4 linked regions of the Astyanax mexicanus genome follow. The protein of the gene in region 1 purifies or fractionates together with the protein of each later gene. This does not show direct contact. Links are inferred from orthologs where the notes say so. Each region holds a gene or a part of one and is shown in the gene's direction. Other genes may lie near its edges.

Region 1 (7,303 bases):
TTTTAATCAAAATATCCTCCTCCCGCCCCGCTATATCAGCAAGCGTAAAATAACAACCGCAATTGCTAATGAATTTGTAAATAATCTCCCCGACTTAACCATCTCCCTTCCGTCCTATGAGCATGATCTCGAGCACAAAACAGAAAATCTACAAACTGTGCTCCGCTCTAACCTTGACCGCGTAGCGCCGACAAAAATAAAACAAATCAGGGATAAAAAGCTAGCACCGTGGTATAATGACCACACACGTACATTAAAACAAACCGCTCGTAACTTTGAACGTAAATGGCGACACACAAAACTAGAATTTTTCCGGCTAGCATGGCAGCATAGTCTCACAGACTACAAAAAAGCCCTAATTAAAACAAAATCCCAGTATATTTCATCGCTTATTGAGAAAAATAGAGACAATCCTAGATTCCTTTTCACTACTGTGGCTAAACTCACCGGCAGTCAAAAACAAACTAGCTCCGTTATCCCTGTCGACATTAATAGTAATGATTTCATGAAGTTCTTTGATGATAAAATTAATAGCATTAGACAAAAAATTCAGTATCACCCCCAAAATTTACTTATAGATATTAATGAATGCTGCTCCAGCTCTGAGACACACCTAGAGTGTTTCAGCCCGGTTACAGAAAAAGATTTACTTAGTGTAATTAACTCATCAAAATCAACATCATGTATATTAGATCCAGTACCCACACAATTATTGAAACAGGCACTGCCAAAGGTGGGAAAATCATTACTAGAAATAGTAAATTCATCCCTTAGCATGGGCTACGTACCCAATTCTCTTAAATTGGCGGTCATTAAGCCCATTATCAAAAAGCCAAATCTGGACCCCCGCGAGCTTGCTAATTATAGACTAATTTCTAATCTTTCCTTTATAGCCAAAATCCTAGAAAAAATTGTGTTTAACCAGCTGCGCTTGTATCTACAAAGTAATAGTATGCATGAGGTTTTTCAATCTGGATTTAGACAAAACCATAGTACTGAAACAACTCTACTTAGAGTAACTAATGATTTACTTTCAGCTCTTGATAGGGGCAGTAATGCCATCCTTGTACTGCTAGATCTAAGTGCTGCCTTTGACACCATAGATCACGCTATTCTACTTGATAGGTTAGAAAATCTTATAGGAATTAAAGGATCAGCCCTCACCTGGTTCAGATCTTATCTGAGAGATCGATTCCAGTGTGTTTACTTAAATAACGAATGCTCTTATCAGTCTAGAGTAAAATATGGTGTCCCTCAAGGATCAATACTGGGTCCATTACTCTTTACTCTTTATATGCTACCACTGGGTAAAATTATCCGTAGGCATGGTATTAACTTTCACTGCTATGCTGATGACACGCAACTTTACATATCTGCTAAACCCAACGAGGAGCTCTGTACAAATCAAATAACAGACTGTATTAAAGACATTAAAAATTGGATGACACACAACTTTCTCTTACTTAATTCTGATAAAACTGAGGTCCTTCTATTAGGTCCTAATATTGATAAAAACATAAATGTTAATACTGTAGACATAGACGGTCACTTAATTATACCTGGTAAAACTGTGAGAAACCTTGGGGTCATCTTTGACCCAATTCTTTCGTTTGATGCTCACATATGTAGCATAGTCAAAATTGCATTCTTCCACTTAAGAAATATAGCTAAAATCCGCAGTATACTCTCTCTGGAAGATGCTGAGAAGCTGGTACATGCATTCATAACCTCCAGGCTGGACTACTGCAACGCGTTGTTGGCTGGAAGTCCACATAAATTACTCCATAAACTCCAGCTAGTTCAGAATGCAGCCGCAAGAGTGCTTACCAGAGCTAGAAAGTTCGGTCACATTACACCTATTCTTTCATCCCTACACTGGCTACCTGTTAAATTTCATATAGATTATAAAATACTTCTCCTGACGTATAAATCCCTCAATGGTCTGGCCCCGCATTATCTACAGGAACTCCTTACTCCTTACAATCCGCCGCGTTCACTCCGCTCTCAAGACGCTGGCATGTTATTAGTCCCGCGTATTAGAAAAAACTATGCAGGAGGAAGAGCGTTCTTTTATAAAGCTCCCCAACTTTGGAATAGCCTCCCTATTAATATACGAGACTCAGACACACTCTCAATCTTTAAATCTAGACTCAAAACATTTCTATTTGCTCAAGCTTTTGAGTAATGTCTCATTACAATTTTCTTCCTCTTACAGCTTATCCAGCAAATATAAACCCTGTCCTAATCATCTGCTTTCTCTTTCTCTCCCCATGTCCTGAGCTGCTGCTACCAGTGCCCATCCCACTCCAGCAGAGTTTTATAAAACCATTCTAACCCCTTTTTCTTCCCTCCCCTCTCTGTTCTCTCTCTCTATCTTTCTCACATGTGCTGAGACGCCTGGCCGGCCGGTCTTCCTGGATGTGTCCGTCTGTGGTTCCAGCTTTCAGGAATCAGCCCTGTCCTTCTACTCATCAGAATTATTACACAGCCTTTCTAACTCCTGCTTTTTGTTTCTCTTCCTTTCCTTTCTGTTTTCTCTATCTATCTCTTTTACATGTATGGAGATGCTGTTCCTGATGTTCCCAGCCTGGCTCTCCACTGCCCGCTGTGTTGTTCTCCGGCTCTGCAGCCCTGCACTGATTACCATTAACACACTCAGTATCTGTTTCTGTATTAGCCATAGCTCTATAGTTTGTGCCCATCACATTCTTATATTCATAAATTAGTACCTGTTATATTAGCCATAGTTCACATTAATTCTCTGTACTGTTTTTGTTCTGTTTGTTGTTTGTTGTTTGTTTGTACTGAGCGGGTCAACCCGAGTAGGATGGGTTCCACGGACTGAGTCTTGGTTCCTTCCAAGGTTTCTTCCTCTTAAAGGGAGTTTTTTGCCACTGTGTCACCATAAAATTTAGTACTGCTGTGAAATCTATACTCTGTTTTGTGTTCTGTACACATAGCATCTAGGTTCAGATGATTAAAACATTTAATACATTTAATAAAACAATTTATTTTCTGTAAATGTGTTTTTTTTGTCAATCAAGATTTACAGTGATCTGTAAGATATGTGTTATATAAATGTTAAGATGATTCCAGTCAGAAAGAGTTTTTTATAGTTATTTATTCTTCATATCAATCAGTCAACCTCTATATATATGTGGAGCATCTTTTGCTGTAGTGGAGAGTAAACAGCTGCTCTGAAGTTCATGCTCAGGTCCAGGAGGTGAAAAAAGGACAGGTAGTTTGCTTTTGCTGTTTTATTTTTGCAGCTATAACTGCACAGCTGCACCAAGAGATGCAGTGTGGGTACGAGAGAGAAACACGTAGCGCTAATGCTAATGCATAAAAGCAAAAAGACGAATGAATTCAGATTTGACCGTTCACATTCATGTTGCATGTTGCATGCGTGGATACGTATCTGATTTAGGATTACATATGAAGGTGAATCAAATCTGATTTGAAAAAATCAGATTTGGCACATTCACACAGCCATGAAAAAATCAGATCTGAGCCACATAAGTCAGATGTGAGTCACTTCAGCCTGGTAATGTGAACGTTAGAGGTGGGCAACAAAATACTTTATTATCACAATCAACATTTTTTTTAGAAACAATAGAACAGTTAAAAACTGTTTTTTTTAATAGTTTTACCACTGATTTGCTTTCTTTTAAATCTTGTTTTGTTTTATTGTACAACACTTGATGTCTTTTAAATGTGCCTATAAATAAATTGACTTGACTTGACTTGAAATCAAAGTTTGCCTTAACATTAGGAAAATAAATATTTTTCAGGTTAAAAAGGAGCAGCCACTATACAAAAATAAAATAAAAATTCTCCCCTCACTAGACATCTTTTCTAGTTCTTTCTTTTTTATTTCTTTTTTCAAATAGAATTGTTCTTAGAAAAAAAAAACAATAAAATAAGGAATTTTCTTTCAGTGCAATTCTATTTTTTTCTTTTACATCCCAAAAATATTAAGGTGGTGTTTCTCTCCATACCTGTTGTCTGATTGGCTGGCTCCGCTGAACCTCGTGACTCTTAGCAACACCAAAAGATCCTCCCTCCGCGCGGGGGCGCTGTGATTAAAGCTCTATTACCCCCCCCCCCCCTCCTCCTCTCTCTCTCAGTGTGAGGGGAAATGAGCGCGATGGCGGCGGGGGAGAGGAGCACTAAGGAGAAGCTGCTCTCTGCGCTCAGTGATATGGAGGTTTTATCGCGGTGAGTGATAATACGAAATTAATCTGAGGGATTATTGATTATTTATCAGATGTGTGATTATTTATTCCGCTCTGAGAGACACAGAGAGCGCGCGGGACTGTTTACTGATCAGCACTTCTGCTCATCCCGCCTGTTTTCACACACCTCTGCTCTGATTGGCTGGTGGCGTTTATGTCTCATAGCCTCGATTGGTTGGTAGCGCTGTCATCAAATATTCCGCCGGTCTGTTGCCCAATGAGAGCAGGCAGGGGGCGGGACCTGTCTGAATACGGGTAGAAAAGAAATTCTAGTTGAGCGGTTCTGTTACTGACTGCTTGTATTCTATTTTTCAGAATTAAAAGAAATAAAAAAGAATTTATATAATATATAAATAACTTATAAACTATTGTAAAATAATAAAATAATTAGTAAATCGATTATTAGTTTTTTTTGTCCCTCATAAATAAATAAAATGAATGAATGAATAAAAGCTTCCCATCAGTACAGCAGCTGTTCTGGCTTTAATGTAAATCAGCTTAGTCGATTCGTTAATCAGGCTAGATTTTAAGATTTTAACAGAGTTCTGTTTCTGTTTGAGTTTGATGGTTTCGCTCTTTGATTCTTTTTTATTTTATTTTATTTTTTTTGCCATTTTTAATTGAAGGCCCTCTTTGCGTGTGCAGGCTTCACAACATTAATCTTTGTTTTTGTTTATCGGGCACCACTTTTAATTTATATGAACAGATCAGATACTAATAAATTCACTGAAAATTACAAAGTTTATGTACTTGCAAAAGTGTATACTTATCATGTTTTATAATGCTGGACTTTTGTTGGAAAATTATTTATGAAATTCTACCCTGTAAGAAAGAGTATAAGTTCAGACCCAAAAGGGAAAAACCTGCTGTTGTATAATATCTGTGTTTTTTTGTGTTTGTTTCTGCAGAGAGCTGATAGAGATGCTCGCTCTGTCCCGAACCCAGAAGCTCCCGCAGCCCGGAGAGGACACTCAGGTACAGTGTGTGTCTCGTGTGAAAATTAAAGTTTGATTAATGCACTTTACAGATATTTATTTTAGGTTTGATTCTGGGATGCTGTAGTTTGTGGAAAATGTTATGATATTAAACTTTAATCATTAACTTTTAGATGAACATATATTTAAATGAATAGGAAATTAGAAATCTCACACATTTATTAAAAATCTTAAATGAACTGATGATTTGCATAAAAGTCAGCATATTCTATATTCCATAAACATCATATTAAAATATTTGCTTATATAATTTTCTCCTGTTTTGTAAATATTAGTAATTATGTTTATTGTGTTTAGCAGCAGTTTTTTGTGCTTTGTCAGATTGTGTTTATATATGGTTTATATATTGGTGGTGTATACGCAGGTGCTGGAGCTGCTGGTTCAGAGGGATAAGGAGTTTCAGGAGCTGATGCAGACGGCGGTGGAACAGGGCAGGATCCATCAGGAGATGCAGCAGCTGGAGAAAGAAGCAGAAAAGAGAGACAGTGACATTCAGCTGCTGCAGAAACAGCTGAAAGAGGCCGAGCACATCCTGGTGAGGCTGATCTTCAGTAGTGATGTTCTTGTTTAATATTCTTATTTTAAATAAATAGTGAAGTGATCTATTAGTCTATGAAGGAACACACGAGGAATCATGTAGTAACTTAAAAACAGTGTTAAACAAACTAAAACTTTTTGGTACTACATTTAGGTTCTTTTATCTGTGGAGCTTTTTTTTTGACTGCTAAAAACACAGACATTAAACATTTCTTTATTTATCTTTATATTATATTTATATTATATCAGGGTTTATATAAAATTGAATATCTTCTCTCCTCCAGGCGACGGCTGTTTACCAGGCCAAAGAGAAGCTCAAGTCCATCGAAAAGGCCAGAAAAGGTACTAAAATTCAGTTTGAACACAGCAGGAACACACACACACACACACACACACACACACACACACACACACCACTGTAATATTAACACTGTGTAATAAAATACAGTAACATGCCTAAATTAATGGGACAGCAGTATAGATATTAATCTTGAGGAGTTACTTTAGAGGATTACTTGGGAATTCCTGCATGTACACGTTGTGAGGTGCTATCTTGTGGGTGAGGTTGGACACTGGCCCATGTGCTCAGTGATGAGACAAAGTGAGTGGATGTTAAACATTCCACAATCTCTATCTAGGCCATAGAAGCCATTACCACCTACAGTAGACAGCACAGTGACCGGAATTATCAGTGCAAACAGAGAAGCGCCTCAGAAATCACATCCACATTCAGTGCAGGAGATCCCACACGTATACAGGATCCTGCAGGTCAACATATCATTTAATAGTGTGAGAAAAGTCATAGGCGATATCAATCAGTGTATTATTTTTATGATGAACACTTTTATAACATCACAGTTTTATCTCCCTTTCACTGGACTAGTTTGTTTAATATAAATACTGATTAGCTGTTGATTATCCGTCTCGTTTGTGATCAGTAAATGAAGAGTCTCTGCTCACACTTCCTCTGAATTAATGATTGTGTAGCTCTGATTAAATGTTTGGTTTAATAATAATTTGTTTGTGTTTATTTTGCAGGCAGCATCTCTTCAGAGGAAATAATTAAGTATGCGCACAGGATAAGCGCCAGTAATGCAGTGTGTGCTCCTCTTAACTGGGTTCCAGGTATTAATTTTATATATATATTTACTTCTTTTTCCTTATTTTTCCATCTCAAGCATCTTTTGCTGTTTTGCTGGGTTCACACCGGCATAATTCTTTTTAGTGTTTCCCCACTTTTTTGTTTATTGCTGTTTATTATAAAACCCATCGATTTACGACATTTAACATGATTTAGGATTAACTTTAACTTCAACAAAATAGACTCTCAACTAAATGAGCATGGATTAAGTCCTCCCTCTTCTTAACTCCAACTTTCCTACTCTTCAAGTAGTGGTTTAGATTTAGTAGATTCCAGTTTGGTCAGTAAACTCAACAGATCTAAACATAACTCCCTGATTCCTAAAATACTGGATTCTAAGCATTTCTAAAATGACACATTACTGAAAATGATTGAGGGATATATATATATATGGC
Region 2 (7,297 bases), on another chromosome or scaffold:
TTGCGCTGGCACTTTAATCAATATATTCTGACACAGGACACATAACTCTTTAATAAAAGTAACATTATAAAGAAAAATATATTTCTTTCAGCCACTGACAGCATGTTTTATATGAGGTGAATAGTAGAAATCAGTCGATTTCAGAGGTTTGACTGAACTTAAACTAGTGTTGCTGGGTAATACAGTTTTGCGCTGGGACTTTATTATTATATTCTGATTCAGGACACATAACTCTTTAATTAAAGTAACATTATAAAGAAAAATATATTTCTTTCAGCCACTGACAGTATTCTGGCACCTGAGTGCGTAGCAAGGCACACATCACCAGATAGCTAAACACTCGAGCAAACTTGAATAAAGCACCAAACTTCAGTGATGAAGGAGCATGAAGTAATCTTGTCCGTTTAATGAAGCTGAGTACTTCCATACAGAAAGTGTGAAACTGAAATGAAATACACAAAGAATACCTTCAGTTCCAATTAAATAATAAGCACAAATAGTAAGTAATATACGGTGGCCGAGAAAGCCCAACGCAGTGCAAATTGAAAAGCGCTGCAAAAGCACAAAACACATCCATCAAAATTACAACACAGGCGCAGCAAATAGAAAAACGCGCTGCAAAAAGAAAAACGCGCTGCAAATAGAAAAACGCGCTGCAAATAGAACCACAACACAACGGAAGTGAGTCACAACACAACGGAATTTTCCCGGGGGACCTTAAAAGATGCTGTACCAGCTGTATACAAAGGACAGTAACTTAAGTGGCAAACAAGCTTCTGAAAAGTAAGTAATGTTTATTACCTGTGATTACCACGGTTGTGTGCATATTATTAAAAGTTCTGCTTCACAAAACGCCTTGTTTGCCACGTATTGTCCTTTGTACACATAGTGAAGTCCGAGACGTTACTGAAGACGCAGCTTAGCTGGTACAGCATCTTTTAAGGTCCCCCGGGAAAATTCCGTTGTGTTGTGACTCACTTCCGTTGTGTTGTGGTTCTATTTGCAGCGCGTTTTTCTATTTGCAGCGCGTTTTTCTTTTTGCAGCGCGTTTTTCTATTTGCTGCGCCTGTGTTGTAATTTTGATGGATGTGTTTTGTGCTTTTGCAGCGCTTTTCAATTTGCACTGCGTTGGGCTTTCTCAGCCACCGTAGTAATAGCCTAAATGAACAAATCTACTTACAAACAAAGCTTCTTTAGAGGGTTACACAGGAAGATGAAGCTGGATACACAAGAGGACTTAACACATGCGCCTCTCTTACTAGTTTGAAAGAAAATGGTCGTTCTAAGCATGTGACCAAAAACCATGTGACTCAACAACCAATGATAAAATTAACATCCAAATAAACATCCAAATAACAAGTATTATAAAAGTGGTCAGCAGAGGGTGCTATAAATACAAAAAAACAAATTTAAAGCATGAACCATAACAGACAGCATGTTTTATAGGAGGTGAATAGAAAAATCAGTGGATTTCAGAGGTTTGACAACTAAAACTAGTGTTGCTGGGTAATACAGTTGCGTGCTGGGACTTAATTTTTAATGGATAATTTTTTCATGTGTAGCTAGCGGACTTTACAGCGCCCCCTAATTGGTTCAATTTGAAAAAGTAAAAGCTTTTTTTAAAGTAAAGCTAATTTATGCTGTGGATGTGTCAAAAATTTTCTAATTTTTTCATTTTTTTTTTTCAAATTTTAAGAGGAACATAGATCCTATGATCCTGCACATATTTCCCATTTGCTTGTAATAGCTCCGCCCAACAGGAAGTCGACCATATTGGAATTTGTAATATTTTTACAAATTTTCACGAACTCATTTAAATTGATTAAAAATTCCAAAAGGATTATTGATCGGAGAAACAGTAACAAAATGTTGGGCAAATGATCTACTAGAGACGCAACAATAAACCAAAGTGAAACAATGACACGGTCAGAACACAGATGCTTGAAAATTCATGAATCTTGGCAAAAACACAAGAGGCTGCATTACATACGTTTTTAGTATTGGTAGGACTGACTCCACCCAATAGGATGTCGGCCATTTTAAAATATCTGCATTTTACACACATTTTTTCGTATGTTGTCAAACTACTCCCAGGAACTTTGTTTAATTCTCTTGGTATTTGGCAAAAATAAACTTTGAACATATCTGATTATATCTTTCACACTTATATCCGGGACCCTCCGCTGACGCGGCCGCGCGTTCTCGGCGTCGGGGACCCTCCGCTGCCGTGGCCGCGCGTTCTCCGCGGCCGGGACCTTCCGCTGCCGCGGCCGAGCGCTTTCCGCGGCCGGGACCCTCCGCTGTGTGCTGCCTTGATGTAATTCCCTCAGTTTTAATAAATTATTCTGTTATTTTAATAAATAATTGCCTCAGTTTTAATAAATTATTCTGTTATTTTAATAAATAATTGCCTCAGTTTTAATAAATTATTCTGTTATTTTAATAAATGTTTCCCTCAGTTTAAATAAATTATTCTGTTACTTTAATAAATAATTACCTTAGTTTTAATAAATCGTTCTCTTTATTTAATAAATAATTCCAATAGATTGTTCTGTTCTTTTAATAAATAACTCCCTCAGTTTTAATATTTTGTTACTTTAATAAATAATTCCCTCAGTTTTAATAAATTATTTTGTTACTTTAATAAATAATTCCCTCAGGTTTAATACATTTGTTACTTAAATAAATAATTCCAATAAATCGTTCTGTTAATTTAATAAATAATTCCCTTCTTAATAAATCGTTCTGTTGATTTAATAAATAATTCCCTCAGTTTTAATACATATTTTTCTTTGAAATAAGGGAATGATTTGAATACAAATTAATAAAATTGTTTCACTTGTGCAACATGTCTCATTTCTTTTATTGTTGAGATTGTGTAAATATGAATGAGAGTTTGTTTAAATGTGTTCTTCTTGTTGGTATTTACATAGATGAAAATAGCAATTTACTAAAATAAATAGGAAAACATATTTAACTGGAACATACTTGGGTTGTGGGGGCTGCTGCTAAATGGTTGTTAGAATTGGGTTAACTGCACTTACATTAAACTCTAAAGTAAAAGCAGCAATTGCTGTTCTGGACAGTATGCAGATCTCATTAGTTTTAATAATGAAAAGGTAGGACATTTTTCATGTTGTTTCTGTAACTCACTCTGAGGAATTCAGAGCACTACAGAGCACTGACTGGTGTGTCACAGCAGGACCGCGTAGGGTACTACAATCAAAAGTGTTACATTACCGAATACTACATACTGGGCAGTGTGTAGTATGCAGTACATACTAGTGCAGTATGCAGTACGCAGTATAGTAGTATGCCATTCCGTGATTGGTCTGGGAGTTTACTGCGCCGCAGTAAACAGTTTTCAGGAGAGAAATCTGTGTAGATTTTTTATTTTATGTTTTATTAAGTTTAAACATAAAATAAAGCTTACAATAGAACTTTACAGAAATTTACAATATTCTAGTTTTAAAAACACCAAAACTACCCGCATATATTATAATACAGTAAAGTGTACTCCACCACCAACATAATTATTATTACTGTCCCCTTCCCTAAAATCCAGTTAATTAATAATTAATACAATTATTATAAAGGTATTGGCACCAATAAGTGTTTCTGACACTGATTTTGTATTCATATTTAAATACCTATTATCAAAAGCTTAGTCTTAAGGAAGAAAAATTGTGATTTATCATGATTAATTGCAGAATTCTATTGTGATTAATTGGATTTTTCATTTTAATCGATTGACTAATAAAAAAAAGCTTCACTGTCCTCTGCAGGTCTAACCATTTTAGACCTGAATTTTGTTCCAGTGATGATAAAAATATACAATACATGTAATAATAAATACATGAATAAATAACATTAATATGTATTAGAAGTATGTTCTTTGTTCACTTCAGTGAAATTATTTGTTTAATGCTATATTTATTCTATATAACCTTTTATTTTGAAGGGCGTTACCCATATCACGTTGCGCAGGATGTGTGAACCCAAAGCGCGGCTAAGAGATTAGCACTTAGCTCTCACTCACAGGGAAGATGAACGCTCCGCCGGCCTTCGAGTCGTTTCTGTTGTTTGAGGGGGAGAAAAAGTAAGTTTATGAGACCTGTGTAGTGTAAGACTGCCTATCCTCTTTAGCTAATGCTACTTACCACGTTACCGGGCCTTACTTTCCCTATCTAGGTTATAGTTAGCTGAAGAGCCAGATAGCTAGGTTAGCATCTGGGGAAAAGGGTATTTTGTGAAACATCTTTGAGTTTAACTGAATTGCCCCCATTTTTGTGGTGTAAATGAACTTAGTCTGATATGTTTCCTGTTTTTCCCCTAAGTTTCTCAATTTTTAATATTAATAAGTAAGTTATATGAGTAAAATCAACATTGTTGTTTTTTTCTATAAACTACGGCCACCATTTCTTCCAAATTCCAAATTAAAATATTGTCATTTACAGTATTTATTGCAGACAATGAGAAATGGCTGAAATAACAAAAAACGTTTCCGAGCTCTTAAAACTCAAATAATGCAAAGTAAACACGTCCATATTATTAAGTGTTAAAGAGTTCAGAAACGAATATATGGTGCAATAAGCCTGGTTTTTAATTACAGTTTTTATGCATAATGGCATGTTCCCCTCCAACAGTCTGCTTTTGGATAACTTTATTCCAGTCCTCAAAAAAAAGTGCAAAAAATCAAGCAGTTCAGTTTGGTTTGATGGCTTGTGATCATCCATCTTCCTCTTGATTATATTCCAGAGGTTTTCAATTTGGTAAAATCAAAGAAACTCATCATTTTAAGTGGTCTCTTTATTTTTTTTTCCTAGAGCTGTGTATACATACATACATACATTCATCACACACAGGAAATAAATCAATTATTTTCTCCTTCTTCACAACCAGTTTACACACAATGTAGTGAAACTTCAGTTAACTCATTTCTATTGTGCACTAACTGTAGGCTAATTTAGTGCTTGCAGCATTACTTTATTACTCCACTCCTTACACATTTACTGCGAGATTCAACTGAGATGGGTGGTTTGGGATGAACTGAAGGAAAAGCAGCAACTATTGTTCAGCATCCTTAGAAACTCCTTCAAGATGCTGAGAAAACTATTACAGGTGACTCTACCTCATGAAGACACATAGTGTGTGCAAAATCTGTCATCAAAGCTAAATGTGAATAAATACAAAATCATTTTGCATGTGTTCCTGTTTATTTTAATGTCTTTAATATTAACATTTACAATGTGAAAGTCATGAAAAGGAATAAAACGCATTAATAAAAAGAGGTGTGTTCAGATGTTTTACTTGTACGGTATATATTTTTAAATTGTACATCACTTGTTTCTAGTTCATGTATATATTTATTTTATCTTTCCTGTTGTTTTATATGATTTGACCTGTAAGTATTGTAATATTTTTTTTATTAAAGGATTACAATTACAAAGGATACCAAGGTGCCAAATGCCTGTTTGTTTACATTGAACAAAGAAGACCATACACTGGGCAACATCATCAGATCGTAAGAATCACTTTATTGTCCTAAAGATTTGGTGTGTATACTAGGGTTGCAGCGGTAACCGGTTTCACGGTATACCATGGTATTAAAATGCACGGTTATCATACCGTGTGTGTTTGCTTATTACCGGTAAAACGCAAGCCAGCGGAGAAACTCACCCGCGCATGCGCAACTCTGCTCCGCTTCAGCTGCTCAGCACACAGCGGTGAGAACGGCAGAAAGTGCATCAGACTAAACAAATCTCCATCCGCCTAAAAAAAGGCTAAACTAAAATCAGCAGTGTGGGACTATTTCAGAGACCCGCCGAACGCACCCGAGGATGGTTTTCCGATTTATAATCAATGTGGCCGTAAAGTCACAGCTAAAGGTGGACATACGTCAAACCTGTTCTCCCATCTCCAAGAACACCACCCCGCCGTGCAGCGCAAAGTATGTGTTTAGTTTATAATTTTAATCTGAACATAAATAAAATCTCTTTGTAGTCGTGCACAACCCATGCGGTAAGCGCCCGCAAAAGCGCTGAGTTATCCGAAATTTGGGCACGCAGGTACAGGCGTGAAGTGCGTGCTACGACGGATTCACGTGTCCGTGTAAAGGTGCTCGCCGGACTGGATGTGAAAGACGCCATTCATTTACATGCGTTAATTTTCAAATTCTGACGTGCCTGTTTTTCATGTGTTAAAACCAGACTCAGAAATAAATCCCCTCTATCTGGTTATATACCAACTTGGCAGTAAAACGGACGTTTACAACAGTTGTTGATCAGACACTGACCCAGGCTCAGTTTATCAGATATTAAATAATTTAAACTTAAATAATTGTACTGAATAGTTTAAACACAGGATCTTTACTTCTTAGAGGACATGTAATGTGTGACACCTGTGTTTGTGTGTGTGTGTGTGTGTGTGTGTGTATATATATATATATATATATATAATTATATACACCCTTAATGACCTTAAGAGTAGTGGAAAAACCTGGTTTCCTTTACCTAATGGTGTACAGTTTATTTTTTTTAAGGAGACATTATCTATATAGTTGTTCCAGGTTTCTACAATAAATAGTTAATTGAACAAAAACCTTTATTGTAATTTCTTTAAGGGTCAGTTTAATAATATATGTAACAAACTGTGATACCGTGATAACCGTGATACCGCGGTATTTTCTGAGACGGTTATCATACCGTGAAAATCTCATACCGTTGCAACCCTAGTGTATACACACTGTGTCTAGATGTCCTAATTACCAATTTTGTTTCTGTTCTGTTTTTTTTTTTTTTTTTAATGCATTATATTTCTGTTTTCCTTCTGTTTAACAGACAGCTACTGAAGGACCCTCAGGTGCTGTTTGCTGGGTATAAAGTGCCCCATCCACTGGAGCACAAGATTGTGATCCGTGTGCAGACAACACCAGATTACAGTCCTCAGGAAGCTTTCACAAATGCTATCACTGACCTCATCAGTGAGTTGTCACTGTTGGAAGAAAGGTTTAGGGTAAGTTTACCACTGGTGAATAAGTATCTGCATCTGTATCAGAGTCTTAAACCTAAAAATATTTATACTGTTTGACAGAATCAAATAATGTTCACAGGTGTTCATTTGGTATGATGATTGCAAAGAACAGCCAGTTCTAATTATTGGCTCTACTGTTGCTGGATGATATGAAGTCCACAGAAGCATCAGTATAAATATCACTATAATTAATGAATATAGTTAAGGACAACTACAACAAATAAATGTCCAGTTGTCAGGGGAAACTTTAAATATAGACGTGTCT
Region 3 (8,442 bases), on another chromosome or scaffold:
TGCGATAGATAGATGCTCTCTCTCTCTTTCTCTCTCTCTCCACCTCTCTGCCTCCATCCCTCCCTCTCTCTCTCTCACTCTCTCACTGCGTCCTTCCACCAGAGTGCGTATTCAAATATGCAGGGAGAGCCCAAAAAGCTGATTGGTCAAAGATATCCGTTCTCCAAGCATCACTAATAAGCACTAATCGCTTTAAAGGAGAACTCTAAGGGGCATACATTTACCATACAGTGATTAAGCTAATCCAATACAAAATGTACCTTATTATTCAAACTCTAATAGCAAAGAACACTGAATAAACATACTTTTTTGCTTGCATTATTTCTTCTAAGGTTGATGATGAAAAAAAACCCCTAAAGACCTATCCAGATAGGATTATTTTCTCAGGGGGTCCTGGGGTAATTTTCTCTTTTTTTGGGGGTCCTCTGCGATTTTAGGACCATGAAGGACCATGAGGTTTTTTGGCTTTCTCGTTCACATGACATTGCGTTCAGTAGCTCCTCCATTTCCACTCACAGTCGTGTTTACATGGTTCTGGCTGAATTACCTTACATTTTTTTGCTGATCAACGTGATCCTCTGGTAATTTTAGTCCTGTCCGGATGCACATCTCTGAGTTTCGTCACCTCGCATTTAATAAAATAGCTATTTATCCACTTCTACTCACTGTAATTACACTTTGTGCGCACGGTTTCACAGAGAACCATGTTAACACAACAGCAAGTGGAAACGCAGGAGCTACTTAACGCGATGTCATGTGAACGAGAAAGCCAAAAAACTCACTCGTCCTCCTGTGGTGGTCCCAGAAGTTTTGAGTAGAAGTGTGAAATATTTTTCATAGACATCCACCTAAAAAACTAATCCTGTCCGGACAGGGCTTAAAACAACCTTTATTTAATAAGTTCTCAAATTGACTTGGGGTGAAGTGAAACATGATAATGAGTACAAACTTTTGCCAAATAGCCCATCTCCTTTCACCCCCAGCACTCTAAAATAAAGCACTTTTAGCCAATGCTCCAACAGGCTCAAAATAGCTAGCGATAGTGGCATAACGTTGCTCATGCAAAAAAAAAAAAAACACTATCTTACCTATCCAGCTGATGATGAAAAAAAAAACCCTAAAGACCTATCCAGATAGGATTATTTTCTCAGGGGGTCCTGGGGTAATTTTCTCTTTTTTTGGGGGTCCTCTGCGATTTTAGGACCATGAAGGACCATGAGGTTTTTTGGCTTTCTCGTTCACATGACATTGCGTTCAGTAGCTCCTCCATTTCCACTCACAGTCGTGTTTACATGGTTCTGGCTGAATTACCTTACATTTTTTTGCTGATCAACGTGATCCTCTGGTAATTTTAGTCCTGTCCGGATGCACATCTCTGAGTTTCGTCACCTCGCATTTAATAAAATAGCTATTTATCCACTTCTACTCACTGTAATTACACTTTGTGCGCACGGTTTCACAGAGAACCATGTTAACACAACAGCAAGTGGAAACGCAGGAGCTACTTAACGCGATGTCATGTGAACGAGAAAGCCAAAAAACTCACTCGTCCTCCTGTGGTGGTCCCAGAAGTTTTGAGTAGAAGTGTGAAATATTTTTCATAGACATCCACCTAAAAAACTAATCCTGTCCGGACAGGGCTTAAAACAACCTTTATTTAATAAGTTCTCAAATTGACTTGGGGTGAAGTGAAACATGATAATGAGTACAAACTTTTGCCAAATAGCCCATCTCCTTTCACCCCCAGCACTCTAAAATAAAGCACTTTTAGCCAATGCTCCAACAGGCTCAAAATAGCTAGCGATAGTGGCATAACGTTGCTCATGCAAAAAAAAAAAACACTATCTTACCTATCCAGCTATGCTTTTCAGTCAATTTATTGTGACTTTATTTCAAGATAGCAGTGCCCGGAGAACTACCTGAATGTACTGTGTGTATAAACTGTGTCTTTTTTAATAAACCACCTGCTCACTTTAGCAAAAAATCAAAAGCAGTAAAAAGGAGACAGAGACAGAATACACAAAATTACAGTCCAAACGACAGATTTCAACTTCAACTTCCAACTTTCAAAATTCACTTTCAATTTGCAGACTTAATTGAAACAACTGCCAATACTTCACTTTTAAATAGCATTCACAACACTGTGATAAATACATATTCTCAGGGGTCCATTTTTTTATAATATGAAACCTGGATGGACAAATAACAGCATAGGTTCATTAGCTTTTTAATGTCACTCTCCATGACCTAAACATAATACAGAATACCTTTGGAAGGGAAGGCGGTTAAAGGAAAATCAATACAGACCCATGTGCTATGTGAAGGGAGTTGTGATGCTGTCAAGAAAATCAGACAAAGCATCCTTAATATGAAAAAAATCCTTACTGGCTCTTGAAGATTGCAGAATGACATGAAAAGAAAGATGCTGAGTCAATTCCCCAGTGCATAAGTGATTCCCAGTAACTAGGGATAGCCTAAAACTACTAGACTGCCAGGAGAGTAGATTAAAACAAAGAAATGGTCTGTTGAAAAGTGGTGAGGTGGATTTTTTGATCCCACCTAAGCCTTTGGGCTGCTCATCTAAACCCTTAATGAAGAGAGGGGTTTAATGTGCTGATATGGGTGTCACCAGCTCTGTCACAGTAAAGTGTAGAATATGTGACCTGAGGTTGAGTCAGTCATCCTCAAAATCCAGCTCTGTTTCTAGATGTTCCTCTAAACATTGGTGTCTGCAGCTGACCTCCTTGCTTGTCTTAATTGCAGCAGCTATTCCCCTGAACCTTTTCCAGTGGATGATTGATCAGACACTTGACCAGGCAACACTTAATTTGAGCAATACCTGACCGAGAATGACCCAGACCTTTGTAGAATTGGATGGATAAAATGGATAACACAGCATTTCAAATTAAACTCCATCTCCTTTTTTAGGTGCTCAGTGATGAAGAAAATGTATTTCTGAGACCAACAAACAGATACAAATCCTCATTGACCTAATTTTTTCACTCATTTAACATTTTGTAGACCTTATGGTCAATTTTATTGTTTCACATAAAGTCACTATTTGAAGCACTTTTTTTTTCTTTTCAGGTGAAATTCCCTACCAGATTAATGCATCACTCAACTTCATCTTCACATTTAAGGAGGCTGTGTCTAAAACTGGAACTAGTTGACTTGATGCCTTGCTGTCCATGCCATCTCAGAATGGACCATTGAGATAAAGATTTCTGTAACTGAGGCAACAAAATGTGCAGAAATTCCCATGGTATCAACAGCTCACTGCTAGATAGGTTTTTTAAATGGATTTTTATTTTTCATATCTTTTATGCTAAATAACATAGGATGTTTGTAGATACTAGTACAATTAATGTACAAAAAGAACACTAATATTGGATATTTTACAATTGTTTGCATGTTCAGTAACATTGGTAAGCCTTTATTGAATTGAATTGAATTGAATGTGGATGTCCAACAATGGCCCACTATTCTCTTGTTGTCTTTTATAGTGAGTTTTTGAGGACTATTATCTAATAATAGTTTTTGAGGACTATTTTTTACACTGAAACAATCAGTTTATGGCAAAAACCTTCTTTGAGTGCAAATTAAGACCATTTCAGTGTTTCAGCTGACTATTGTTTAGGTTCCTATTACCACTATTGTTTGTGACTTCATTTCTTCAGAATTAAGCATTTTGTATTAAACCACTCTGAATCAGGTGGTGGTCTTTGCAGTAGGCAAATGTAGACAGCTGTTTATAGCCCCCATAACCAAAGAACATCATGAAATACAAATGGAATATATGTGTAACGTTAACCCTGAAGATAAATGTGGAGTAGGCGATTTTGTAACAAAAAAAAAGAGTAGGTGTAAGGTTGTTGTTTTAGGGGAGAAAAATCCACTCCATACTTTTAGCAATCCTTTTAAAAACACTTTTTCAGAACATATAAATGCCTGACTAGTCACGACAGAATGTTGAAGAGAGGCAGAAGCTTATTTTACAGTCCTGTGGCCTTCACAGATAATGTTTTTTTATTGTTAGAGCATTGAATTCATTGATAGCTCAAGTGATATAAAGAGTATTTTAAGAAATATTATTCAATATTCTTCTATTATTGTAGAGATTCTGCAGCCTCATCCTATATCATGTACAAATTGGATTATTCCAGGTTTTCATCTAATGCCTTAAACACATATAAGCAGATATACAAGTAAGCTATCAGCTATCAGGCAGTGTTAGATTTTGAAGAAGGGGATCTTTTAATTGATTTTCTGTATACTAAGCAGGAGAGATAGAAAGCTGTTTGCACTGACATTTACATGGATGGCTTTTTTATTATTACCCCTTATTGATTTTAGACCCTTATAAACTATTCTAAGATCATTACATTAGTTATTATAAGTTCTTTAAATTGATATATTACATTATTTTTATTTAACTCCTATGTAAAACAAAGACCAGTTAGATGTTCAATCTAGATAGCTATAAGTTATATACAATGACATGCCAAAATCATTCATGTAGACTGGTTCATTTCATGTAGATGTGAGTTCTAGCCAATCGCAACCTATCACAGTCATTACCACCTCATTACCATTTCGCTCTGCATTGCGGGTGGTCCCATCCTACACATTTGTTTACAACCCCAGATGATCTCAGTCTTGACCTGATTATCTCTAAATACAGTCCATATTGACTAAAGGAGGATGGGCCCCCTTATTTTTTTTCTTCTAAGGTTTCTTCCTCCAGCTTTAAGGGAGTTTTTACTTGTCACTGTCGTCTTGCTCACTGGGGGATTTTGACAATTTCAAGGTAAAATTTATTTTACATTGAAAAGATAGAATTAGAATGTAAAACTTTCAAAACTATTTCATTTTTTGTCATTCAGTACAGTGAAGAATAATGGATTGTCATCCAATTTTCCATCTAGAATTTTAGGAAAAATTAAAAAGGGAATATTCTCTTGATTTTCTGATTTTTCTAGTAACCTATGGGCTATAGGCTTTATATTAGTCATGTTTAAACCCATAAACAGTAGCCTGAAGCCCACCGTATCTGTACAGTATGTGTGTGCTGCCTCCTTGCTACCCCACCATGTGCTGACACTAGGGGCGAGAGAGTAGGACGTCAGAGGGAGACGGTATGCAGCCTGCCACAGCCTACAAATGTGTGTGGGGTGCAGGATGTAAATAAAACGTTGTTTCCGTGTCTTTTCCCTCCGCTTGCCTCTGGATATGGGGCTTGGATAGAACAGGCTAATACCTACATAAATGTGGGATAGAGGAAAATCCCCAAATTATATTCTATACAGCCTATGAGAGTGATTTAACTCTCATTCAAACGGGAAAAGGGAGTGTTTGTGTGGTTTTAACGAAGCGTAAACTCCTTGCTGTGGGAGCAGAGGGAGGACACGGAGGAAAAAAAGACGTGAGCGAGAAGAAGGGTGAGGACCGGGAGCCCTGGAAAGCTCTTCGCCGGCTTCCGGACATTCAGGGGCGGCATCAAGGCTGCAGTCGTCGCTAAACTGGAGCGTCGAACATCCCCGATACTGGATTGGAATATTTAAATTATCTCGTAAAGCCTCGCCGTATATTTGGCGTTTATCATGTCCAGAAAAGTCCAAAGGAGCGAGGTGTGTGCCGACTGCAGTGCGCCAGGTAGGTTGAAATGCATGGATCAAGGCGTTGTTGGGATCTAGCTAGCGCTAGTTAACATTGTGTCTAGTGGGCTGAAGCGAGCTGGCGCTGAGCGGAGAGACACAGAGCACGGCTGCTGGGCCAACAAACAAACGGAGAAACGGCCTGCAAACCTCGGCCAGAAAGTGACCAGGGCCTTAACATATATTAACATGAAGAGTCCATCATATTCACCAACATTAGACCGTATATAAGGCGGCTGCAGTTGTGTTTAACTATTTCAGAAAACTCTGTAGCTGTTAGTTAGCCGGCTGACTGGTTAAACGGGGTTAGCTACAGGCTAATGTAATGGCGAGTTTTATATATCGGGCTCTGCTTGTTGTTAGCATCCGCGCTAGCCACGTAACATTAGCATTAACATTATTTATCCTTTCACCTGTCTAATAAATTAGCTACTATATAGTCTATATAACATGTAAGCTACTCGTTATGAACACACATTGCGTAGTCTTCTAGCTAACCTGCTAATCCAGTCAAAAGCGTAACTATTCAGAATGCTAAGGTTAACAAGCTAGCTAGTTGGCTAATTTTAGCTAGCTAGCATACCTCTGTTGCGTATCCCGACTCAATTAGTTATATAGCGTTAGATTATAAATGTCAAAGCGGGACATTTATCAGAAATGCCTGGCCTATAACTGCACAATAACGGTGGCGAAAAATAACTAAGTACCTAGATAAATAGTTAGCTCAGCTAGGTAAGTTGGCTAAGGCTAGCTGCTGTAGACGATCTACATCGTAACCTAGCTAGCTAGCATTAGCTATCGTAGCTAGTAGCGTTAGTAATACTGAAACTAGACAGTTAACGCTAACGCTAGCTAGCTGTCATTGACACTGTCTTTAACCGGAGTTTACATCCTGGTCGTTACATCCATTAAATATGATTCTAAAGTTAATTATGCATGATATAATTTGTTGTTGAAAACGTCATATAATTTAAGAAACATTTGCTTATTCTGTCACATCATAGACAGTTAGCTGGATAGCTAACCTTAGCACAAAACTTTACTATAGGTTAGCTACCATTAACTAGGTTAGCTACCGTAACTTAAATTAATTCTTAAGTAAACTTGAGAAAAATGTCACGTTTCGGTAGTTTATTGTCTGCCACATTCACTTATAATGGCATGTATACTATAACAATTGATAAACAGTATATTAATTGCTGAAATTGAATGTACCATGGCTTGTTATGGCTTCAGTATCCTGTTATCATTTTTTTTTGGAACAAGACTTTTGCAAAATCAGCTCATTTTTAGGTGAAAAGACCATAATGGCACATCTGGTTTACCAATCTTTTAGTAGAATATTATTTATCAGTCTGACTCTAATGCCAATTAAAATTCTTTCTTATTTAAGTAAAAAAATACACACTTAAATCACAATGGAATAAAAACAAGAGAAATGTCTTTAAACACATTCGCAAATGAGTTTTTACTATATGTCTTCACTTTACAAAATTACAAGCTGTTCACACTACATACCAGTGCAAATAACTAATTTCTCCAACCCTGTCTATTGGAAGCAGTGTTTCTATATTTCTTATATTTCTATATCTCTTTTGTTTTCACTATGTAAAACCATATTTTATTAAGCTGTCATCCCATTGTCTTTTGATATAACATCTCTTAATGACAGTCAGGTTATTGAAGATCAGTGGAGCCTTGGCCTTGCTTATGAAGCTCCCATCTGCCCCATAGGGAAGAGGGGGCAGAATGGCAGCTGCTGTCATACCCCACAGCTGCTCTCTTTCCAGGAATGTCCCTCTGTCTTTCTGTCCCCACTCTCATCTGATCACCTTCTCTCTGCACCATCCCATCTACTGATTTGTAGCTCCTGAGCTTCTACCTGCAGTCTGCCTCTAGCATGATGCAGTTACCAGCATACATTGTCAGCACTAAGGACAACAACATTGACTCTCCCGCACCAGTGCTGAGTTTTAGCTGGTGTCTTGGGCACTTGATTGACTCTGTTACTGCTCTGTCATTACTGCCCCATATTACTGCAGCTCCCTGGCTGCTGCTGAGGAGCGTGTAATAGTCACGTTTGACATGCCAGAGGAATGCATATAATGGTGTGGTGTAAAGTGGGGCTGAGTGCGTCAGCTGGTGAGGAGCTGATAATTGTTGTACTGCAGTGTGAATGTGAAAGGGTGGATGTAAAGCAACGTGTTGTGCAGTGTAACTGTTTGTTTGGTTTTGTTTTGTTAAGTGGGAAGAAAATTGTTTATGTGGCTATAGAACACAATATTGTGTTGCAATATTTGCACTTTAACAATGCGGAAGTGTGTGAGCACGTATATGAAATAATGTTAAGCAAGATTAAGGCTAAAGATCGAATTGTAGTCTCTCATAAGGCAGGTTTCAGTTTGACCTAACCCTGTATTTTCTCTCTCACTGCCCCAAACTTTGGGTTAGAGGAATAGTTCTCTGAAACATGTAAGTCAATGTATAGAAATTGTGGAATCTGTTTATGGAAATTAGATTTTGACCGTAATGTGTAATGTTAGCGAAGCATCTCCTCTGTTGTAAATTAAAGAAACAAACATCAGATACTTAACATGTCATGGCTGATTGACTACATCCTGGATGAGTGATAAATTACATTAAACAGGGCCTATAAATACTGTTCCTGTCAGCAGCCACTTGACGAATCCCCTGTTTCATGAGATCAGCTGTTTGTCATGCTTTCATGTGAACTTGCACAGGGATTAGTCATAGCCTAAGTATGTAATATTGGGTTGTCAGAAAAAAA
Region 4 (7,478 bases), on another chromosome or scaffold:
GTCCAGTCATAAAATTTAAATGCTAAATATTCCACAGCCAACTGTCTGTGATCATCCTGACCGTGTGTGTGTGTGCGTGCGTGCGTGTGTTCTCCAGACTTTGGCTTCATGTTTGAGAGTTCTCCTGGAGGAAACCTGGGCTGGGAGCCGGACATTAAGCTGACTGATGAGATGGTGATGATCATGGGAGGAAAGATGGAAGCCACACCCTTCAAATGGTTTATGGAGATGTGTGTGCGGGGCTACCTGGCCGTCAGGTGAGAGATGTACACGCTGTGTTTACTTGTTTGCTTGTTTATAATGAGTGAATTTGTGCTGAAACGCTGTGTGTTTCTCTACAGGCCGTATATGGATGCTGTGGTCTCCTTGGTGACGCTCATGTTAGACACCGGTCTTCCGTGTTTCCGTGGTCAAACCATCAAACTGCTGAAGTAAATTAATCTACTGCACATAAACAACAACTTAGTGTATTTGTGTTTAAGGAAAAGTCGTTTGTGAGGGGGCTCCGGTTGGTGTAGTGGATAAATGCACTGTCAGACCTGAGGGTCACTGTTCCAGTGCAGAATCCAGCTGCCAGACATCAGCAGCCGGGGAAAAAAGAGGTGGAGTCTGAGGAGGCAGAGGGGAAGTTCATATGACTGGAGATTGTGTAATTGGAGAAAAGAGGGTAAAATCAGAAATTAATTATTAAAGAAACCCATGTTTGTGTGTGTTTGCTTACAGGCAGCGATTTAACCCCAGCATGAGTGAGAAGGAAGCAGCGGCCTTCATGATTAAAGTCATCCAGAACTGCTTTCTCAGCAGCAGGTCGGTCTCACACAGGTTTTTTTTTACACTTAAAGTTAGTTAAGAAGGTCGTTTAGTTTGAAAGTTGGTTTGGTTTGGTTTGATTTGGTTTCACACATGGAAAACGGAAATTCATGTGATGATGTCTCTGCTAATTGTTTGATTACAGTGAGACAGGACGCAGACTTTTGTTTTTATTTATTGCGTAAATCTTCAGCAGTCGCATCAGAAAATGGAGTTCAGTGTGAAAACTTCTTATCACTGAGGAGCAGCAGAGACAGTGTTAGTTAATAGCTGTAATAATTATCTGCATAATATATCAGGTTAAACTGCACTTAAACAGCCGTTCAGCTTAAACAAGATCAAAGCTAAATCACATTCCCACCACAAACAAACTGTTTAGAACCGGACCAAGACTACCTCCTCTCACGGGTCTCGGTTCGACTGTATTGATCCACACCGGAGTGGTATTCTTTTTAAAATAAACTTTATTAAACATTTTCAAAGCACATTACAGAGTCATCACAAAACTGTGAGCGCCATTACTGTTTTCACACCTGTCAAAACGAACCACATCAAGAGGGAGCAAACTAACCCGTCTGATTTAATGGAGTTGTGCTACTCTCTCTCACAAGAACTGAACCTGAAAATGAGAAGAATGATGTACAGCAGTACAAACACAGTATAATGTGTTTTATTCTTGTTTTTTTTAGGAGTAAAACCTATGATATGATCCAGTATTACCAGAACCAAATCCCGTACTGAGCTGACAGCCGACAGTACAGTTACAGCTGGACCCTTACTAAAATCTCATGTATGTTTTATGGAAGAACTGTTACATCTGTGTGTGTGTGTGTGTGTGTGTGTGCGCACATAGAGTGTTAATGCACAGTGTTAAATAGGGGTGGGACAAAATATCAAAATCAATATATTCTATTGTTTTGTTTGCGATACATTATTCATCAAATATGTTTTTTTTTTTATTTATTGAAACAGGCGCTCTAAACCCCCTAAGCCCCGCCCTCAATTAGAGGAGTTACTAAAGTTACTGCTTCATTCCACATGGTGGCGCTATAATCTAATGAATAGGGTTAACAAAACCTTCAGTGAAGAATATCGGTTGCTAAATTGTGTAAAACTGAACCAATAAATCTATAATTCCTGGTATTTGATTATTTAGGAGTATTTTATTCTCTTCAGAAACACAGACGATGTGAAAGATCATAGAATTGTGTTGTGATTTATCGACTATCACAGAATCACAGTATCGTGATCTTATCGTTATTGTGGGCAGTGTATCGTGATATTGTATCGTGAGATGCCCTGTGATCCCACCCCTAGTTTTAACATGTTTGCCTCCCTTGTTGTGGAATTTTGATTGCCTGTTTGTTCAGTACTCTCTGCACTTTATACGCCTGTAATGCACTTGCAAGTTTTTAATCTTTTATTGAGTTCTTCAAATGAATATCCATATATGAACCATTTCTCCCTTTCAGATATTCTTTTTTTTTTTTCATTTTGACAACTTTTTACATAAAAAAAATAAAATGTGCCTCATGTAGACTTGTAGAGAGAAATGGTTAAAATGGTTATTGGTTGAAACCGCGCTGCCCTGCTGATGTACTGTTAACTGCATGGCTTCAGTGTGTGAGAAAAACAGCGCAGTAAAGGGCAGCACTTTATTCTACAGTATGGTAAGTGACTAGTATGTAATATGTAAATAAGTTAAAGGTAACAATACTAGTGATTTTACGGTACTTTAGTAAGGCAGTGGTAACTACTAGTAAAACTACCAGCTGCCAGGTTTTAGGACACATGCTTCATACACGTTAAATATTCAAATTCACTAGTATATACTGTATCTACATTCTGAATAAGACAATAAGAGAACAGTTACTATTTAATCTGTTATCAAACCCCAAAACCAGCACAGCTCCATTTATCTGTTATCAAACATGAGCCATTAATTCAGCTCGGAAAAGTTAGCATTGCCCGTTAGCTAATGGGCTAATCGGTCATTTTTTGACTTAAAAAACGCCAGTGCAGAAAATATATAAGAAGAGATTTGTGCTAAAATATAATATGTAAAATATAAAATATAATAATAATAAAAGTGATGAAAATGATTAAGAAATATTAATTAATCACAGAGCATCAGTTGCCAGTACTAGTAGTTACCATTGCGTTGCTTCTTACTATTTACCTATTAAATAGTAATTACTCACATACTGTGAAATAAAGTGCTACCCACTGAAGTTTATTATGCCTCAACATTACAGACTTATCAAGAGTTTGTAGCTTTCATCTCTTTAAAGTCTCAAAACATACGATTGATCACTGAATGCTGTTTTCTGTGCACTTGCTATGATGACACCTGGCATTTGAGTCTTGCTGTAAGAAATCCCAGTTTCTTGCTTCTCTTTCGAGATTGAAATTGCTTTTTCTAAAATACGAGCACTAAATATAATTAATAAGAGATTTACATTAATTTAAATATAAAAATATGTACATTGATATGTCTATAAAATACTGTGCATCATATCTGACTGATGGCTTTGTAACTTGCTAACTGCACTAAGTTTGTGTTCAGTTGTGAACCATTGTTCACCAAGACTGAAGGTCTTTAAATCAGTGATTAATAAAATCATATAAATTTTTTTAAGGTTTTAGAAATACTCCATCCTGCCCTGCTGGGTGAGAATTACAGACTATTTCAGCCTGTGAAAATTTGTTAGATACACACCAATCAGAACCAGATCAGCCCGAGGTCCTATTTAACCAATCACAGCTTGTTTACAGTATGTGCCTCAGTGTTGAACAGATTGTGAAGTGATTTTAATATTTGTACACTCGTTTACATGTTTGTCATTTTTCTGAATCTTTTCTATCCTGCACTGTTTTTGGATGGATACAGCCTGAGATGTTTAAATAAATTATTATATGGAAACAGACTGTGTGTTTTCTCTACATTACACTGCGTCTGAAATGATGACGTGATATAATAATTATTTCCATACACCTTCACTGCAAAGAACGGGTCTCTCTCAGGAGCTCCGTGAACTCCAGCACTGTGGTACCGTGAAATTTCAGAGCTTCAGAGTTCATCACTACACACCTCTCAACTTCTAACTTTTAATATGTTTAGTGATACATGTGGAAATACTGAAGGTGGCAGCAATGCATCAAATTAAATACCAGCTGTCATAAAACATCATATAATTAAAATAGACTTTTATTATTATTATTATTATTATTATTATTATTATTATTATTATTATTATTATTATTATTATTATTATCATCACAGTACCCGAGCGTTTGTGGCGCGGGTGTGACGTCATTACGGCGAGTCAGAAAGAGGAAGTTTAGGGTCACCTGATCCTCCTGGGAACACAGCGGGATACAGCACCCCTCAGTGAGCGGGACAGCGCAGTGGGGGCGCGCCGAACTCCGTTACACCCGCAGCAGCAGCAGCATCGCTGAGTTACAGGAGGACATTATTCTGTTATATCGGTGAGTTTTTTAAATTTAGTTTAGTTTATTCGGTGTAACTTCAGTAACCTAACATAGCCTCGCTAACAGGGTTAGCATAGCAAGCTAACAGCTGTTATTTAAACCCACAGATATTCAGCTGTTGGATTACTGTTGTCTGGAATTGATCGTTTTTGTGATTTATTTATATTAACATGGATAAATAATCATATTGTAACTACCTGCCTGTCACTGAACATGCGGTTAATTTACTAGAACCCGTCATCATCTACAGTATCTACATTAGATTAGATTAGGGAGCGTTAGCGGAGTTAACTCAGCGGTGCTAAGCTAATGCTAACGCTAATTTGCCAGAGAAGAGCTATTAATAGCTGATATCTAACCGCGGCTTTTAGCTGTTTTCATTTCATGACAGCACTTTTAATGTGTTTCAAGCTACACATTAACTGAGTCAGCAGAATATAATCGCTGTTTTTATTTTCCGGCGGTAAGAAAAGTTACTTAATGTTATAATAAGCGAACAGACACGAGGCTAAGCTGTTAGCTAACGCTAGCTAACGTTACATTCCGTGTAATTCACGTGATTATTATTAACTAAATTACACGTTTTACTAAGATGTTCTAGTTAATGAGGCTTTATTAAACTAGCTAAAAATCCAGTATATAACGCTATCTATAATAAGCAGCTGATATTATATTTAACTGATAAATTTAGTCTTTATTAAAGGATTTGTGACAGAAGGCCAGATGCTTAATTATTCCATAAAGTACACTGTGTGTGTAATCTATGAATCATCAACATTATTTGTGATTAGCTTACATCATACTGGTGTTATAAAAAACATGCATCAGAATCCAAGATTGGTGTGCTTGTTTTATTTAAGTTTTGTCCTTTGAAAATGTACAACTCATCAACTTCTAACCAGTGACTAACCAGTAAACTGAGGCATATTTTGAGTTGATCACAACACTAGACTAACTATCTAACGGGACATTTAGAGGAGAACAATCAGCTAGAATTGATTAATGTTGTGTTGGTGTGCCAACTGTAATGATTATCCACCATAGCTTTATTCATTTTTTCTTTATGATGCAACAACAGATTTTTCACGAAACAGGATGTTTTAAAACCTGTATACAGTGCTGACATCGCCAACTACACCCTGCAGAGGAAGGAAGCTGGTTTATCCTGTCTTCAGTCCCAGTCCTGTTAAATAATGTCTGTTCAAAATAAATGTTTTACATCTTCTCCTGTTGGACAGGCTTTGGGTTTATGGCAGGGGTTCTTAACCTTTTTAATGAACGGAAGTATTTTGGAAATATTTCACAAATCTTTGCAACACGACTGGGTGCTTATTTTCAATGATGAAAGACCAGTCTTCTGTCAGTTTGTATGGGAAGAGACAAACTGATAAAATCTGATAAAAATATATATTCTAGACATATAGACATTTTTGCACATCATCTCTTACATTACTGCTTCCAATTCTACATTCTAAACAGAACTACATTTTTAAACAAATTTGGATGTGCAAGCCCACAGCCTACATTAATGTATCTGAATCAGTTTGTGCTAAGATGTATAAAGTATAGAGTGTCTAATGAGTGGGTCTGATTCAGTTAAAGGAAAACTCTTTATAATGTCTAGATATGATTGTCTGTACATTTTGCAGAGAAACAGCCCTTAAGTAGAATCACCCTCACGACCCCTGTGAACTGTTTCAGAACGGAGGGTTAAGGTTATCTGCTTTGTGGGTGACGCTGTTTACAGGGTAACTGATGTGAAAGAACATGTTATTAGTGTGCAGCCGAGGAAAACTTTTTTTTTTCTTGCACAGTCGCTTACAGAACACCGCTGTGGTCGGAGGATGGCGGCGTATCCTAAATCCCACAATCCATTTGCCGATGATGATGAAGAGGAACCAGCAGGGCCGAGGAGGGGCTTTAATTTTGACGATGAGGAAGAAGAGGAGAGTAAGCTGAGTCCTGCGGAGAGGCGGCAGCGGCAGCTGGAGCAGCAGGTCATGCAAACGGCGAAGTCGGCGGTGGACAGTAGCTATCGCTCTCTCGGCCTCATCTATGAATCAGAAAAGATTGGGACAGAGACAGCAGAGGTGAGATGTTCTTAAACCTCGGGGGTCTAAGGGAATTTTTTCAATTCTCATGTAACGCAGAGCAAATTTGGAGAGATAATCTGAAAAGTATTTTTTTTTTATTTTTTCTGCGTATATCTTGTGAAGATTCACCAAGTGAAAAAAGCACACACACACACATCCTGGCTATTTGCATTATTCCTGCTTAGTAAATCATGTGACACAGGTTTAGAAATATTTAAAACAGTGTTTGGCCTTAATCTGCTTGTATACAGTATTTTTGATTGTTTTAGCAGAATCTGTAACAGAATCATCTAATACTTGCATTTATTAGTGCAAAACTTGTTGATGTGATTCGCACTAGTATATTGCTGGTATTTACACTTATTCACACCAAGAGTATATAGAATAAAACTTTTATAAACAATTAATACAGATACAGTGGTATGAAACGTTTTTAATGATTTTTCTTTATAAATCATTGGTTGTTCGGATCAGCAATTTTGTTGGATGGAATCAAAGGGGCAGATTCTTCTGATTCAGGAAGTGTTTTAAGTATATTTCTGTTATTTGAGTTGGACCTGCTGTAGGAGCACAGGCAGGGCTCATTGTTGGAGGTCTTGCCTCAGAAGTGTTTTATGGCTCGTCACGTTTTTTTTTTTTTTTTTTAATCACGCCGTCTCTCTGTTCTCAGGAGTTGATTCGTCAAGGTGAGGTATTAAAGAGGACGGAAAGAATGGTGGATAATATGGAGCAGGACATGAGGACTAGTCAGAGACACATAAACTCCATTAAGAGCGTTTGGGGGGGGCTGGTTAATTATTTCAAAGGGAAGCCAGAGCAGAAGCCTCCTCAAAAAGAGCCGCCCGCAGCCTACGAGGCCAACAGCAGGTAATACTGCACTCCTTCACACACACAGTAATGACCATTTATAGTTCTTTCATTGCTTCTAGTTACTTTTCAGTACTCTTCAGTACTCTTTATTAAGTGCGTTGAGTTGTTTCAGACGGTTTGGTTTAAAGCGTGGTGATGATGTATCGCTCTTGGTAAACTAAACTATTGTGACCTCAGTTAAAACACTGCCCAGTTTTAAAATGTAAAAATGTA

The links.
Region 2: the proteins of med4 (region 1) and polr2j purify together in Homo sapiens (affinity purification with mass spectrometry; 3 studies listed by BioGRID and IntAct, with this or other methods). This does not show direct contact. The link is inferred for Astyanax mexicanus from reciprocal best matches to the Homo sapiens genes MED4 and POLR2J.
Region 3: the proteins of med4 (region 1) and git1 purify together in Homo sapiens (affinity purification with mass spectrometry; 3 studies listed by BioGRID and IntAct, with this or other methods). This does not show direct contact. The link is inferred for Astyanax mexicanus from reciprocal best matches to the Homo sapiens genes MED4 and GIT1.
Region 4: the proteins of med4 (region 1) and snap29 purify together in Homo sapiens (affinity purification with mass spectrometry; 3 studies listed by BioGRID and IntAct, with this or other methods). This does not show direct contact. The link is inferred for Astyanax mexicanus from reciprocal best matches to the Homo sapiens genes MED4 and SNAP29.

The regions. Positions count from the first base shown.
Region 1 is NC_064418.1:243,259-250,561, reverse strand, and holds the start of med4 (mediator of RNA polymerase II transcription subunit 4), read left to right. Parts: upstream 1-4,109; 5' UTR 4,110-4,138; coding exon 4,139-4,218; intron 4,219-5,143; coding exon 5,144-5,210; intron 5,211-5,594; coding exon 5,595-5,765; intron 5,766-6,051; coding exon 6,052-6,109; intron 6,110-6,805; coding exon 6,806-6,892; intron 6,893-7,303. UniProt on the Homo sapiens protein: Component of the Mediator complex, a coactivator involved in the regulated transcription of nearly all RNA polymerase II-dependent genes.
Region 2 is NC_064408.1:29,549,982-29,557,278, forward strand, and holds the start of polr2j (DNA-directed RNA polymerase II subunit RPB11-a), read left to right. Parts: upstream 1-3,971; 5' UTR 3,972-4,046; coding exon 4,047-4,099; intron 4,100-5,434; coding exon 5,435-5,524; intron 5,525-6,839; coding exon 6,840-7,014; intron 7,015-7,297. UniProt on the Homo sapiens protein: Core component of RNA polymerase II (Pol II), a DNA-dependent RNA polymerase which synthesizes mRNA precursors and many functional non-coding RNAs using the four ribonucleoside triphosphates as substrates.
Region 3 is NC_064425.1:19,365,996-19,374,437, forward strand, and holds the start of git1 (ARF GTPase-activating protein GIT1), read left to right. Parts: upstream 1-5,116; 5' UTR 5,117-5,600; coding exon 5,601-5,652; intron 5,653-8,442. UniProt on the Homo sapiens protein: GTPase-activating protein for ADP ribosylation factor family members, including ARF1.
Region 4 is NC_064419.1:75,758-83,235, forward strand, and holds the start of snap29 (synaptosomal-associated protein 29), read left to right. Parts: upstream 1-4,152; 5' UTR 4,153-4,299; intron 4,300-6,116; 5' UTR 6,117-6,146; coding exon 6,147-6,392; intron 6,393-7,065; coding exon 7,066-7,262; intron 7,263-7,478. UniProt on the Homo sapiens protein: SNAREs, soluble N-ethylmaleimide-sensitive factor-attachment protein receptors, are essential proteins for fusion of cellular membranes.